2 linked regions of the Lepisosteus oculatus genome follow. The protein of the gene in region 2 interacts with the protein of the main gene of each other region in a biochemical or structural test. Links are inferred from orthologs where the notes say so. Each region holds a gene or a part of one and is shown on either strand. Other genes may lie near its edges.

Region 1 (7,835 bases), on a different chromosome or scaffold from region 2:
AGCTGGGGTATGTGAAAAGACAAATTCCTAATGCAAGTAATTGTGTATGGCTAATAAAGTGATCTTATACCAACTACAGTAGAAGTTAGGTTGAAATAGCACTATACTGCTAAGTTCAGTAGCTTACAGCTACAGTATAACATACAGCTATTGTAACAATTTGAAATTCACTGTGAGAGTTGCATTAAATGATAGCATGGCAGTTAAGGTAATCCCTGAGTGTAGTGAGTGGATTGGTTGGCCTTTATAAACTATAAGGGACTGAGACACTTAACTTTGAAGACAAAATTGGAAGAGAAGAGCTACTTTAAAACTCAAACTAACTACAGTAGTAGTTAATCAAAGGATAGTTGTAAAGGTGGTGTAGGGGTGGGAATGAGATGAAAGATGAATGCAAGGAGCAGAGAGGTTTACAATTGTATTTCTAGCTTTCCAGAAAGTGACATCACGGAGGAATACAAATTAAATTAGCAGAGGTGAAGTAAAACTTGGTTACTGTCATCCCTGATGAACCTTCAATAACACTCCACTTAAACACATAAAAAAATAAGAAGAGCCATCTAGCATGTTAGGCTGTTAGCAGTTTGTTGATCCAATGATCTCAACAAGCATTTTCGTGAAAGAAACCAGTAGGTACCAGTACAGTAACTACTTTCAAATTAATTCAAATGTATTGTTTGAAAGTAAGTACAGTAGGCACAAGAGAGTGACAAAAAAGTAACTGTATATCCAAGTCTATCCTAATTCAAACAGTAAGTACAGTAGGCACAAGAGGGTGACAAAAAAAGTAACTGTACAGTTTATCCAAGTCTATCCTAATTCAAACAGAACTTTAGCTACGGACCTTAGTATGATTCAAACATGGACATATTTTAAATGGCATTTTATGTTGAAAACTCACCCAGCAGAAATCTGCTTATTCCTAGTAAGGGTCTTAGCATTCTGGACCATAGGGCACAAAATGGGACTACACCCTGGGTGGGACATCAATTCAACATTGGCCCATGCATAAACACACACAATTAAGAGGGAGGAAACTAGAGCACCCAGAGAAGACCCATGTGGCTGGACGCAGGGTGAAACTCACAGAAGCCAGCCCAGTGTGGGATCAAATCCAGATGTTCTATGCTACACATGCTAAAATAAAAGTAATTTTTGACATCTTAGTCATAGTCTTACTGTATATGTGGAAGAAGCAAACAGTCAAAAAAACTTGCTAAAATACTTTTAAGTGAATAGCTGGTGGTTTATGGGTCAGCATAAATATTATTTGATAAGGTCTTAAAAATGTAATATGATGAAGCACTCCTGCTTTATACTGTATGATGGAGAAGTAAATAAGGGATTCTTAGCCACTCTTTCCTCTATCATTAGAGTGTAACATTTTAAACTTGCTCCAGTCCAAAACATTTGGTAATAGCATGCGCATTGGTAGTTTGAGACATTAGATCTTTAGTTCATGAGCCTCATTATTATTATGACCAATGTTTTTTTCTAGGGTGAATAACTGTTGCCAAAATGGCACCTTGAAGGGAGAAAGAGCAAGAGCAAATGATTATTTTTACAGTGACTAGGACATGTGAGACAACTTGGTATTTGAAAACAAGAGTTCAAGTTTGGCATGTTACTACTGTATGTGCATAATCGCTGTCTTTAAAATAAATATTTTTTTCCAGTTATATTCTTATAGATCATACCAATTCTCTTATCACTGCTCAGACCTACAAACAAGCCTACAAACCCCCAACCATACACAGGGAAAAATAAGGAAGTGTAGGCAAACTCCTCTGACAATCTTCCCCTGACCTCTCCCTTTGAGACAATCATCTTTCAACACTTACACAAGGATTTGTTTTGTTAACCCAAGGCTCAAACCCATGACACAGGGATCCTAGAGATTAACCTGAATGTAAAGGTTTTTTTAAGGAAGATGGCACCTCATCTTTAGCTGTTGTTGCAGCACAGAGCTGTAAAAATAAAAAACAAAGACACCTCAGCCTTTCTTTGCCCTACTGTCTCCTCTTAAGTATGTAAATTGGAGTGACAATTATGTTTACCCACAAAGATCATTGTTATCCCTCATCTCTTTTAGTGTCTGGATGATGATCTATGCAATTTCTGAGGTTCATTTAATGCTTTATATTGCGAAAACAGGAACGTTAACATTGGTGAAAATGCCAAGATTACTAGATTACACAATTTTCATTAATTATTTTAAGCATTCAATTAACTGTTCATAGATTTTTTTTCAGTCTCTAAATAAACAAATTAAACCTTGTTAAGATGGAAATTATGCTGTATTTTCCATACATGAAAACCATGTACTTAATAGGAATGAAATAAACTACAGGTACTTTAACAGAAAATGTACACAAAAATGTCTTTAATACTGTATTCATTACATTGCATTCCCTTGGAAACTAAATAGTTAAGCATGTTGTTTTATACCATTTAGCCATGATTGGTTTTATTATGTAGGCTTTAAACATTTATATTAGCAAATCTGTTGACTACATTTTGAAACATTCAAGGAAAATGTACTGTAAATAAATCCTATAAAACAAAAACTAACAGAGTAATGTAAAAATTGCATAGAAACAGGGGGAATACCCATAGAGACATGCCTTTCCTTATTACTTTTTCCACTGATTGAGTTACTGTAGGAAAAGTTACAGTACTTTACAAATAGCCCCCAATGCCAGGCAAAGCAATTCTATCCACAATTAATGTGACAATTACAGTTTACAATACAAATTTAACCAGAGCATAGCAATTCCAACCTTTCCACCTACCGTATGTATTATTTTATCCAGTATCCCCATGCAATAGAAAATGTGGTGGTTTATTTCCTTGTCTTATTATTTCCTGTTTTAAAAACTTCAAAGAGATGTGGCTTACTGCTCAGAAGGCTTTCTTCATTTGTCTTTTGGAGAAACAGCCAAAGTGACAAAGGAATATGCACATTTCAAAAGACAGCACAAAGAACTCCAGCTTCTAAGTACTGTATGTGTAACTCAGAAACAATACTGTAAAAAGTTTTTTTTTTCTTTTAAGACTAGTTACTGCAGTATTAGGTAGGAGAAACTGGCTTGTTGCCCAGGTTTTAACAGTGCCTGCCTTGTCGAATGCTAAATGAGGTGTATAACGGTATTCAGTCACTCTCTGCCCTGATCCTTCAAAACATTTCTTCGCTTACAAAAATCTGTTCTAAAAAAATCCACATATGGAACTTATTACTCCATTTGGTGGAGTAGAAACAGCTGAGTCCAAGACAAATATAATATGTGAGTTAAGACGTAGGCCCACATGAAGTTATAAATAGACCCCCTAAAATGTCAATTAACCCCTTGAACAATGAGCACATGAGCACAAACGACTGAAATGAAATAGTAACTGTTCAGTTTACAGCTGCTTTAACAGGGTTTTCTCAGTGGAACTAGGGAGTAGTAAATTTGACAGAATAATGAACATAGATTGCATCATCATGGAAAATAAGGGCTTTACTTTTGAAGATCATGTTCCTGGGTTTCAATGTACAAAACAACTTACTGTAATTGTGATTTAAATACTTGGAAAGGTAATGTTCATGGTACACATAACGGCTTTTGTAACTATATTGAATTAAACATCTTCATATTTTTCAAAATATTACATTTGAAGGCATGGGTACAATACGGTGTACTGTAGCTCCTCTCACCCCCTGACAGACCTGCTGCTACATTCTACAATGTTCCTCTTGTCAGCTTTAAAACTTGAAATGTGGCATCTGGATTACACAAGAGTTTTAGTACCGGATGTTACTAAATATTTAACATGTAAAGGAGGCAGATGACCTACTGTTCAGCGTGGAGTTAACCTCTGAGTGTCCCTGTGTATAGAATGAGACAATAGTGTGTTGACCCAACAATTTATGACTCTTCTAAGTTTTATGAATTAAAATATTAATCATAATATTCCAAATCAAAACAGAGACAGAGAGAGAGTAAGACATGCATAGAGAGATCATATATACTGTGGGAGGTTAACAAATGAAAAGATGCCATTTGAACCATGCAGTCATTATGGTACAGTATTTCTTTTAAAAATATTTGATAAAATACACATTACCTAAATGTAAAACACTCAAGGGCTTACAGGCAGTCCTACTGGGTATTACAGAACCAAGACCAAAAGAAGAAAAAAACTACCACCTACTACAAACTATTATTTTCAAGTCTTAATTATAAGTTTTTTTTATAGAAGGGTTACAGCTAAACTCCTTTTTTAGATCAGACTGAAAATAATACTTTTCATCCCTTGTGTCATGATTTAATGTATTTGCATATGTTTTTTTTCTCTTTTGTTTTCAGAAACTAAAAGCTCTACTTGTATTATCGGATGGAATAATACAAGATATTATTTTCAGCTGTTACTTTACATTTTTGTTACTGCTCAAACAATAAATAATAAGCTTTAGAAACCAGGATTGGTATATTGTGGTAATAATGTACAGATTTTTAAAACCTATTCTGTCAGGATGTCAGGATGTCCTTGTGATTTTAAGTAGTAATTACGATCACACGTGTATAATTTCAATAACAATTTTTCTAATCCCAAAAGTTTTGTTATTTTGTACAGCACCAATAAGAACCAAGAGGATTTATTTCTCAGTAGATTAAAATTAGACATGATTTTTTGCTATGATACTGTATACGTATTTATCTGTTTGCAGCATCTGCAGAGAGACTAAAAGTTTAAAGATTATGAAATATTTTTCAACGCCATCTGATTTACTGTAATCTTGGACTAGCAGTGGGATACTTTAGGATTTCCATCTATTGGTAGCTTTGCATGTCAAGCTTTGCTTGTCTAAGGTTGCCTGTAAATATAATTATGAAATTCACTCTGCTCTCTATTAATTATAACAATATAATTATTATTGCATAATAATTATAATTATTGTTATTACAGTAATTATAATTATGTAGAGAGGAATTATGTAATGTAAATTTAAAAATAATTTAAACATGATTTTGAAAGAGTTTGCTTTGGAAGTATCAAATAAATATTATTCTCTTTGTGTCATGAAGGATTCTGAAAAAGCACTGGATCTCACAGTAATTCAACAACAATATGCTTACAATGCATTACATTGATACTATTGGACAGACATGGATGATAAGAAGCCAGAAGGTTACAGTAACTTGAGAGAGGCTCACAAGCAATCATGTAAATACAAACTGAAATAAAATGAAAGAAAAACTTAAGAGTTGATAATTCATGTAAAAGCACTTAGATAATACAAACTTGAGCACTTGTGTAATAAGTCTTTTTTTCAGTTATCAGTAATAACCAGTAATCAGTAGTAATTGTTCATGACAGTGACTCCTTAGACCTAAAGTTAAATAATCCAGCTGCACTGCTGAAATCCAACTGGTTATGCCATCTCTTACCAGCTGTTCTGGTGGGTATGGTGTTGTTTTTGGGATGTCTGCTACTTCAAGTTTTACATCACACTGTTCTTTTACTCTTTTAAAAGTAAGGGCAAAACAAAAGCTAAGGTTTTCATCTCTTGCCCTGTTCTTTCTTCTTATAAAAAAGCCAAGTAAAACTGGGTTTTATGTAATATCAGCAAATATTCGATTGTGAAATTAGTGTAACAGTTATACAATGCCTTTGGTAACTGCTTTGATTTAAATGCTGCACACTTTACAGTACATACATGTAATAAAATCCCAAATAATATAGACTTATCATAAGGAAACAGATATCCAAGCTTGGAAGGATGCTGAAACTGAAACTGTGCTTACTCTGACAAAAATACAGTGATACTACCTGTGGCAAGATAGCAACAGTTTATATTTTGTGTAGAAGTGGTAAACAATCCAGGTGTTGTAATCAAGACTGAAAAACCATGTCTTACATCGAAAATGTTTCTTGGAGTTCCAACAAGCAGTAGATCATATTTACAGCCTGGTCCTAACATGGCCAGCACTAGGGTAGCGTACAGAGTCCACGACAATAGTATAACCTACAGTTTTTCATGAGGTATTTTCTGCCTTCTTATGTTAGTGATCCTTAAAATTACATTAGAAAACAATGATCACAATAAATAAGATATCATACAGTACCCAAAGTATCACAAACTGCACCTGAATCACCACAGCAACCGCCAAGACCTTTCAATCAGCCAGTTGCTGTGACAACCCAATCCCGATGAAAAGGTCGTCCCACCTGTGCGAGTTAAAACACCTGGCTGTTTAAGAGCTGCTCCTGTGATATTCAAGTGCTCAGTCTTAGAGATTCAAATCTGGTCTTGGCCCTCTCTGTGAATTTATGTTGTCTCCTGACTGTGCTTCTTTCAGCTTAATTTTGTGGATTTCTCTTTGGATTGCTTGCTCGAGTTTTCCCTGGTTTTTGGACTTTGCTTACACTCTGTGACCTTTGTTATGGATTCCCCGTGGTGCTTTGATTTTGAGTCTCTCTGGCTACGACAGTTGTTGGTTTTTCGATTTCAGCTCTGGACAGTTTTGCTACTGTTTGTTCACTTGCCTCAGTGGTTGCTACTTACAGTACCTGCTCTTGGATCCAGCCTTCAGCTTCAGACAAGTAAATGCAGCCTATTATAACTAAGCACTGAATACGAGGAGCTTGTTTTTATCTTTTAATTCATATGGAATGTAGAATTGTTCATGGTCAGCTCATTTTCAATTTTGCACTCTTCTAACGTTCTCAGAACAATGTTAAAAACAGGAAGGTTTCTAGTGAAATTTAGGATAATTGTGGTATGCCTGTGTACACAGCCTGCATCCCTTCTCATTATCCCCTTCTTCCTGTGTAAGTCTGGAGGAAGCTGAAAAGCGAAAAACAGTTACATAAGCACATATTCCACTCAAAAACTCAAAGATTGAACCAGAAAATGTCAGACACGTTTCTTTTCTGTCGTCACTCTTTTATCAAAGCTAAAGTTGAGGTTCAAGCCACGTCTGTGAAGGTCAACTTCCATATTGTTCATACTGGCAGTAAAAAATGATGTCTGACAGAGATTCTTTTTCCTTCTTGAAGCACAGGGCCTATTTGCTGTTAACTCAGCAGAATTCTTTGGCAGCAGTATTAGGAAATTCTACATTAATGCCTACAGCCGGTCTTCACTGAATCACAACAAAAGTTTTCTCCAAGATGGTGAAATCAATAGCTAAAGAGATGTTGTTAATAAAGACAAATCTTTTTCTTTTCAGATGTTTTAAATGGCTCAGAAATCTAGAGTATACATTATGTGTAACTAGAAATCCTTTCATATTAATTTGAAAATTGTGAAGTATAAAGCAACTAGAGTTACATCCAAGAGTAAAAAATGTCAAGATCTTTTCTTTCCAGTGCTTTGAGATGATACAGATAATGACAAACGACTCCATATAAAATAGGTTCCGGCTCTGCCATGACCCAGAATTGAATAAAGCAGTAACACAAAGGATGAATTCTACTGTATATAAAATTAAAAAAAAAGAATGAAGTCCAGCAGTGGTTTTTCACTTCTTACCTTTTATATTTTACAAGATTTGTTGTTTTCATCATAAAAAAGAAACTCAACTGGTTGGACCAACCCAGGTAACAATTATATTAATGGTTTATAAAGACCTGGATACATTTTAGTTTTGATCACTTAGGCTGGTGGTCTGTTATGTTAATTTGAGAGAAAGAAAATGTGAATAACATTCAGCCCTCATGGACTGGATTGCCCCTTTGTTAAACCTATTTCTAATTTAATTGATAAAGTGTTTTTAGAAAATATCTGAATTAGGACTATTACGTTTTACTCATTTGGACTCTCCACAGCTAGGTCACAGTATTTGAAA
Region 2 (7,009 bases):
ATTTTTCGGCTGTGGAGCCTTCTTCGGGTTTCAAAATCTTCACACCCAAAGAAGACTCCACAGCCGAAACATTGCATTTGCGTTTCTCTTTTCAGCATGGAATAAACCTTTTCTTGTTCCTTTGTAGTATACTAATAGGTTCACTTGAATTATGGAACTATACAGATAAAGGCAATTGTGGATAAACTAGGGAGACATAACAGCACATTGGTTTGAACTGCTGCCTCGTAGTGCTGGTACAGCGTCTTGGATTCCCAGGGTGCCATCGGTGTGGAGTTTCTATGTTCCTCCCATGTTCACATCAGTTTCCACCAGGTGCCCTGGTTTCCTCCCACAGCCCAAAGACATGCTGGAAGGTTAGCTGGCTTCTGTAAATTAGCCCTGGTGTAAATGGGTGTATATTTTTGGTCTGAGTGAGCCCTGCAGCTGACTGGTGTCCAATCCAGAGGTGACCCTGTACTGGACAAAGCGGTTTAGAAAATGGATGAATGTCATCAAACCACACTAATGAATTATAAGCATTGGAAGCAGAAAAACCTCCATTTCCACTTTATGACGATGAAGAAAAGTTCGAGGTGCCGCACTTCAAAAACAAACACTCCTCTCCAACTGTCGCTTCTAAGGACATCCCCACCTTTTATCAAGCTTTGTAATACACAGATGTGTATCCCGGAAATGTTTGACACGGTCCAAATTCCACTGCATGTGGAATCAGCCCTGAGATAAGGAGGTGTCGTTCCCTTTATAATAACACTGGGAGGAGCTGGGTGGACAGCTCCATCAACTGGAATCCCTGGTTGATACCGATGCCCGTGTTAAAATCAGGAGATGAGCTTCACCCTGCAACTTTCCTCTGCAGTCAATACTGTGCTGTAAAGTGGAACTCACTCTTTGCCAAGGGTGTGCACTGACACCATTCATTAGATCCTAGAGTCTAATGATGCATCATAGCTAAATTTATCTTGCCGTTAAATTAAGTCATGCATTTCTATGGTTTTTACTTTCTCTCTCCTACACCGAATAAAGCAGTTTGTGTTTTATCGTACAGTTCTGCACTGTGGTCTTCAAATGGGCTCAAGGTTTCTTAATGAATTGTAAAACCACCGCTGGCAGGAAGTGTCTGCATATTTATAGAAATAGTTAACCAAGTCCCTACTCTGTACTAGCAGCCCTTTGAACCTGAGGCTGTTTTTCCACTCCACTGCACACCATTTGCAAAAGAAACTATTCCTAATGGTTAAATGATACCCAAAAGATATGGATTTGAAGGAACGTATTACAATGTCATTTTCAAGAATTAGTTACATAGTGTAACTTTTTATGCCATCACTCATAAACCAAAGATTCCAGCTGCACACAATTCATAGCTCTTGCAGTACAAAGGTTAAGTCATAATGGTGTTTCACAAGACGTACAGTTAGACAAATGTTTATTTTTTCTAAAAGTTAATTAAATGTTAAAGCTACATCTTGCTCAGAATTATAATACAATTCAACGTAATTGAAGGCAATAAGTTTCAACCAATTTCCAGTCACCTAATATGTACTAGTAATACTGATCTATGCGGTCTTAGACGTATGTCATTCATTCCAATTTCATTCATCAGTGAATTGGAAAGATAGTTATCTTGCTATCATTGAATCACAGCAGTCCAAGTGATTTTAAGCAATACTACCTAACAGGAAATCGTTATTTTAGATGTAAAATCTTTTTTTAAATGTAGGACGTGGTGGGCACCGGTTAAAATCAACAGCATACATTTAAAATAAAAGTCAATGTTTAATAGCAGTGCGTCGTGACTTAAAATCCCACTTTACCTGCAAGTTCATTGCAAAGTATTTTTACAGTATGCGTAAGGGTAGTCAACTGCACCTTTTAAAGGCTGTCCTTAACGATTTCTCCATTCATTTTAGAAACAAACCATTCATTAGGTTAGGGGCCCTACCTCCTGCGGGTGCTTCTTCCAACTTTCCGTGTGTCAGAAATTCAGACTACTACTCCTAAAATCTGCTTTAAACTTTGAATTAAAGTTTCACTTCAGCAAGAACGCAGCGTGAGACCTAACTCGAGACGTAATATTTTTTGCCTCCGTATCTCAAAAGCTAATGGCAAACGCCTTCAGGCATTCCTGCATCTAGTTACCAGCCACAACCTTTGTACCTCCGATTTTCCTACCCAGTTATTTAACTCGAGTGCAGCTCTCCTTGGTGTCAGGAGGCCCTGCTCCTCCATATTTTATCGTCTCAGGTAGATTCATACACGCGTCCGTATCAGTAGCGGTGTAAGTTTCCAAGTTGTCAAGCTTCCCATATCCAAAACCTCTTAAGAAAATCAGAGAGCAAATCAAGTGCCATTTCTTCGGATTACTCTTCACAGCCCAGAAAAAGCTAGGATCCGAGGATTTACTCAAGTTCACGCTTAATAAAACGGTTCTTTTTTTTTTTTTGCTACCGATAACCCAAATACAAATGATGATAAAGGAAAAGAGGATGGATCTAGGAAAAAAAACAAGTCAAGCGACCGACAGACACATTTACACTAGTTTTATCTGTATTTACTGCCCGGCAATATTATCAGCGGTGCAATTAATATAACTCACGCTGCAAGATATGCAAATTCACCAAGTAAAGAAATCCCACGCTTGGATTTGTAAACCACAGGATTTTCAGAATCCGGGTCGCTGTGCTTGTGGGACTGGAAGGGAGTTTAAATGAAGTGGCAGCTCTTCCTGTGTTTTGACAGCCTCCATTAGCATCAGCATTACCGGCGAGCCTTTCCTTCTACTTTAATGTTTCAAAGCCGGAGTGCGACAGAACTGAACGACATCCCCCCCATCATCCAAAACGCTCAATCAGGCAGAAAGTTGTACAGGAACTTACTCTGTCCCGATTTTCCGAACGTCCTCCGGGGCGATTTCCTCTTCTTCTTCTTGTGCACACAGAAAGTTCAAGTTTCCCTAAGTGATCCCTAGCCGCAGATCCCGGCTCCGGTCTCCCCGTGCTCCTCTTCCTGCTGCAGCCCCGGCTCTCCAATTCGCTGGGAAAGACGTCCTGGGAAATGGCCGTGACGTCACTGGAAGAGGCGCAGCCGCGGCCGGCCGAGAGGGGGCGCTGCAGACGGGTGACTTCGTGAGCCGCCTGTGTCGGGGCGGCTGGAGATAAGGCGTGACTTTTTTAGTTTCTTTTTTTTATTATTATTATTGTAACAGCAGTGATGTATATATAATACGCACAAGAGTACATATAACACCATCAGTTGCATCTTACAAAAAAGGTTAAATGAGGCAAATAAAGATAAGGTACACACAGCTTTCATATTCTTATATTTTTGCTAGTTGATCCAAATAATATGTACTGTGTACGTAAATGTGGCTTTTGAGTGAAAAGGCGGTAATTGACTTTTGGGTCTTTTTATGGTTGCTTATTTTTTTATTATAGTTCTTGTGTGCGACTCTCTCCTAATGCCTTCGGGTCAGAAATGTAAAGATCACTTTTTCAAGAAGTTCTAGAGTTAACCGAGCGGAGCCAAACACATCGAGCACTGAAGTTAGTATTATAGTAAGCATACCATGTTGGACTAGCGTTTTTTAAAAAATGAGTTTTTTAATGCCGTGGTGGAATAATATGTAGCTTATTGCCCCCGTGTCAGTGGCGCTTTATTAAACCGGACCACTGGTTTCCATCGGTTTGTATCGTCATGTGGAGCTGCAGCTCCCCAGAGACGCTCCAGCTGACATCTGCCGGTGCCGGTGTAGTTCAAGTCACCTGGCAGCAGAAGTCCTTCGGGAAGTGTAACCTGTCGGGATCACATATACCTTGAGTGAAACTTAGTCAGATGCCGTGTCTGGCGGACCGTGCAACACCTCTTGGTTAACTCCTTAAAAGCCTTTTTGTTCGTTCCCTAAACCTGCAGCTGACGAGACACGGACCCCATAAATGATAACTGCTTTTAATGATAAAACGTTTGGATGATTAATCCAATCTGCGTGAAAGAATGAAGCTCACAATTCCAGTTGCACTGTAGTGACGTGTTAATGAGCCGTTTGTTAGTTGCACTTTATCAAATATAAGAAGCGAAATGAGTGCGAAGTGGTGTTGTTTTTAAAAGACGGAACCTGCGCCTGGCATCTGGAAGATTCTGGAAAGACGAGGACCCGGAATAGAAACATTAAACCCTTCATCACAATGCAAATTGCGCACCCAAGTGTTGATGGTAGATTCCCATTACATAGGAGCAAAAAAGACTCTATGATTCAAAAGGTGATGTCATGTACTGTATTTATAATGTGTGTTAGCCTTGCTGATTTACAGCAGTGGGGCCCCAAGCTGAATTCCAGTCTTGGGGTGCTGTCTGCGTGGAGCTTGTATGTGCTCTGCATGTTTGTTTCCCCGTGTGGGCTCTGGTTTCCTCCCACAGTCCAAAAACATTCTGGTGGGTTAATTGGCTTCTGTAAATTGGCCCTGTTTTGAGTGAGCGTGTCTGTCTGTATGCCCTGTGATGGAGTGGTGCCTTATGCCCATTGCTTGACAGGACACACTCTGGCTTCTCTGCAGCCCTGAGTTGGATAAAGTGGTTAGGGAAATGGACAGGAGGACTGATGGGCAGGGGAAGGCCTTAATTTAATCAAGGTTTAGAATTTGCAGAGGAAACTTAAACCTTGTGTCAGGTAACAAAAAAGTATAAAGCACACAAGAAAGTAAATAAAAACATTAAATAACAGAATATAATTAACACAAATGCTGTGAATATTATTGTAACCTTTTTAAGTTTTAATAAGTGATAAGTCTTAAAGGTTGTTTCTAAGTTATTAATTGCAAAGAAAACACAAACGAAGCACTTTAAGTAGCAGATTTCATTTGTGTTTAAGATTAATTAGAAGCTTGCTACTTTATATTATTAAATATATTCCAATAAAGGTCTCAGTTATCCATAGGAACAGATTCAAAGTGAATGGATATTATAAGCTTGTACCTATTACAAATAATAATGTTAAACTTATATCTTGTAATACAAAAAAACAGTTATTAATTATCGTTTATGTTGCGTTGGGGGGTAGAATTCATTAGTTCTTGTGTTTGAACACTTTGAGAGTGTTGCTAATACTATCAAGCAGACATCAACAGTTTAGCAAAAAAATACAAGCAGTTCAAAGAAAAATTAAATATCCACTTCGAGGAAATTTATGTTTCTGCTGTTGGGAGTTTTTCCAATACAGAGACGGCATCCTTCAGAGAGCACTTGAAGTGGAAATGTAAGGTGAGGTAGATTTTAACATCACCATGGTTTCCACAAGAATACAACACATGCCAATCTATTGTTCATCAATTTTTAACTATCCAGTAACATAAAACTTTTTAAGTATTTTTAAAGGAGACATTTTATCCCAGGTTGAAAGGCAATACAGGGTGAGCACATCTAATTAGCTGGACACCTGATACATTAAGCCTGGCAACTGTATCATTTTTCTGTGTTGGAACAATGAGGCAAAAACTTGTTTCTTGAAATGTTTACATGTTATTTTATTTCATTATGTTTAATCTGCTGGGTCTAAACCTCTGAGTCACACTTCATGTAAATGCTGGAAGACGTTTCAGAAACTGGATGGTACCTCATTCCATTTGATTATGATTTGATTCGTTTTAGTCATGTGGAGAATTATCTTGACATAATGCCATTTCTGTACAAAGATGTTGAAAACGTAATTACGTATGTGTTTTAAGGTTTAATGAAATACTGCTTTCTTCAGATTTATTCTTTATACATTTACCTATGCCACATTGAAGAGGGTTTTTTTGTGAGTGTTTTTGCTTGGTTTTCATTTACTGCATACACATAAATAAATTGAGAGTTTAAAATTTAATTTGCTTTGCAGCAACAGCGGCTGCCATGTGTGAAATAAGCAGCACAATGTAAGACACTATCAGCGGCAAACCATTAGAGCTACAATAAATACCCAATACTTAATAATAATAATTGTAAATTACTTTTCACTGTAAATGTAATCACATTTTAAATATCTAAATGTGCAAATATTTTAAGAGCCTACTTTCTTGGGGTCATCAAAACCACACATGCTGGAAAATCATACCATGCTAATGCCATTGTGCTAGTCCATTATAGGTCAAGTAACAAGACAGAATGAACCATTAAATGTGTTAATCTGTCACACGAATCTTGATACTCATCGCTTTTACGTTTTTGCTTTTATTTTCCGGACAGTTCTTGGAATTCCTTGAAATAACTGTGGAACTGTGTAGAATGAGTAGCGTCTCTTTGGTCCTCCCTGTGCTTGCCTGCCCATCGGGTCACCCACAGCACATTGGCCATCTCCTTGTATCAGCCAGCCTAGTTTCCAGTTCGTTCCATTCTATCCAAGGTCTTTCCTGATCACGGGGGATCATCTTCTGCCAAGAAGTTCTAGCCCTGGACAGAGCCCTCCCTCTTCTTCATCTTGCACTTCCTGGCCTCCATCTGCGGGCTGATTTCAACAGTCTGATCACTGATGTCTTCTCTTACAGATTAACCGTGAAAGTGCACTTTGTTCAGTGATTTTCCTGACTTCACCATTTTCCTGGCATCATTTGGGTGCTCTTAGTTCCTTAGCGAGCAAGGTCAAAGCTAATCGCTATCCGGCAGCCATGTCACCCTGCAACTCACAACTGACGACCCCCTGAAGCTCGGCCGGTGTGAGCCTGGCCAGCACCTGAATGGGAGACCCCCTGGGAAAAACTAAGGCTGCTGCTGGAGGAGGAGTTAGTGGGACCAGTAGGGGGCGCTCACCCTGCGGTCCATGTGGGTCCTAATGCCCCAGTATAGTGACGGGGAGACTATACTGTAAACAGGCGCCGTCCTTTGGATGAGACATAAAACCGAAGTCCTGACTCTCTGTGGTCATTAAAAATCCCAGGGCGTCTCTCGAAAAGACTAAAAAAAAAAAAAGAGTAAGTGTGTTACCCTCGTGTCCTGGTGGTGGAGGGGAGTCCCCCTTACCTGTAAAGTGCTTTGAGTG

What was found.
Region 1: the proteins of myo6a (region 2) and dab2 form a complex in vitro, tested with the Homo sapiens proteins (7 studies listed by BioGRID). The link is inferred for Lepisosteus oculatus from reciprocal best matches to the Homo sapiens genes MYO6 and DAB2.

Annotation. Positions count from the first base shown.
Region 1 is NC_090698.1:23,189,064-23,196,898, reverse strand, and holds the start of dab2 (disabled homolog 2), read right to left. Parts: upstream 3,009-7,835; 5' UTR 2,793-3,008; intron 1-2,792. UniProt on the Homo sapiens protein: Adapter protein that functions as a clathrin-associated sorting protein (CLASP) required for clathrin-mediated endocytosis of selected cargo proteins.
Region 2 is NC_090697.1:9,138,184-9,145,192, forward strand, and holds the start of myo6a (myosin VIa), read right to left. Parts: upstream 3,026-7,009; 5' UTR 2,880-3,025; intron 2,071-2,879; exon of another isoform or gene 1,946-2,070; intron 1-1,945. UniProt on the Homo sapiens protein: Myosins are actin-based motor molecules with ATPase activity. Unconventional myosins serve in intracellular movements. Myosin 6 is a reverse-direction motor protein that moves towards the minus-end of actin filaments.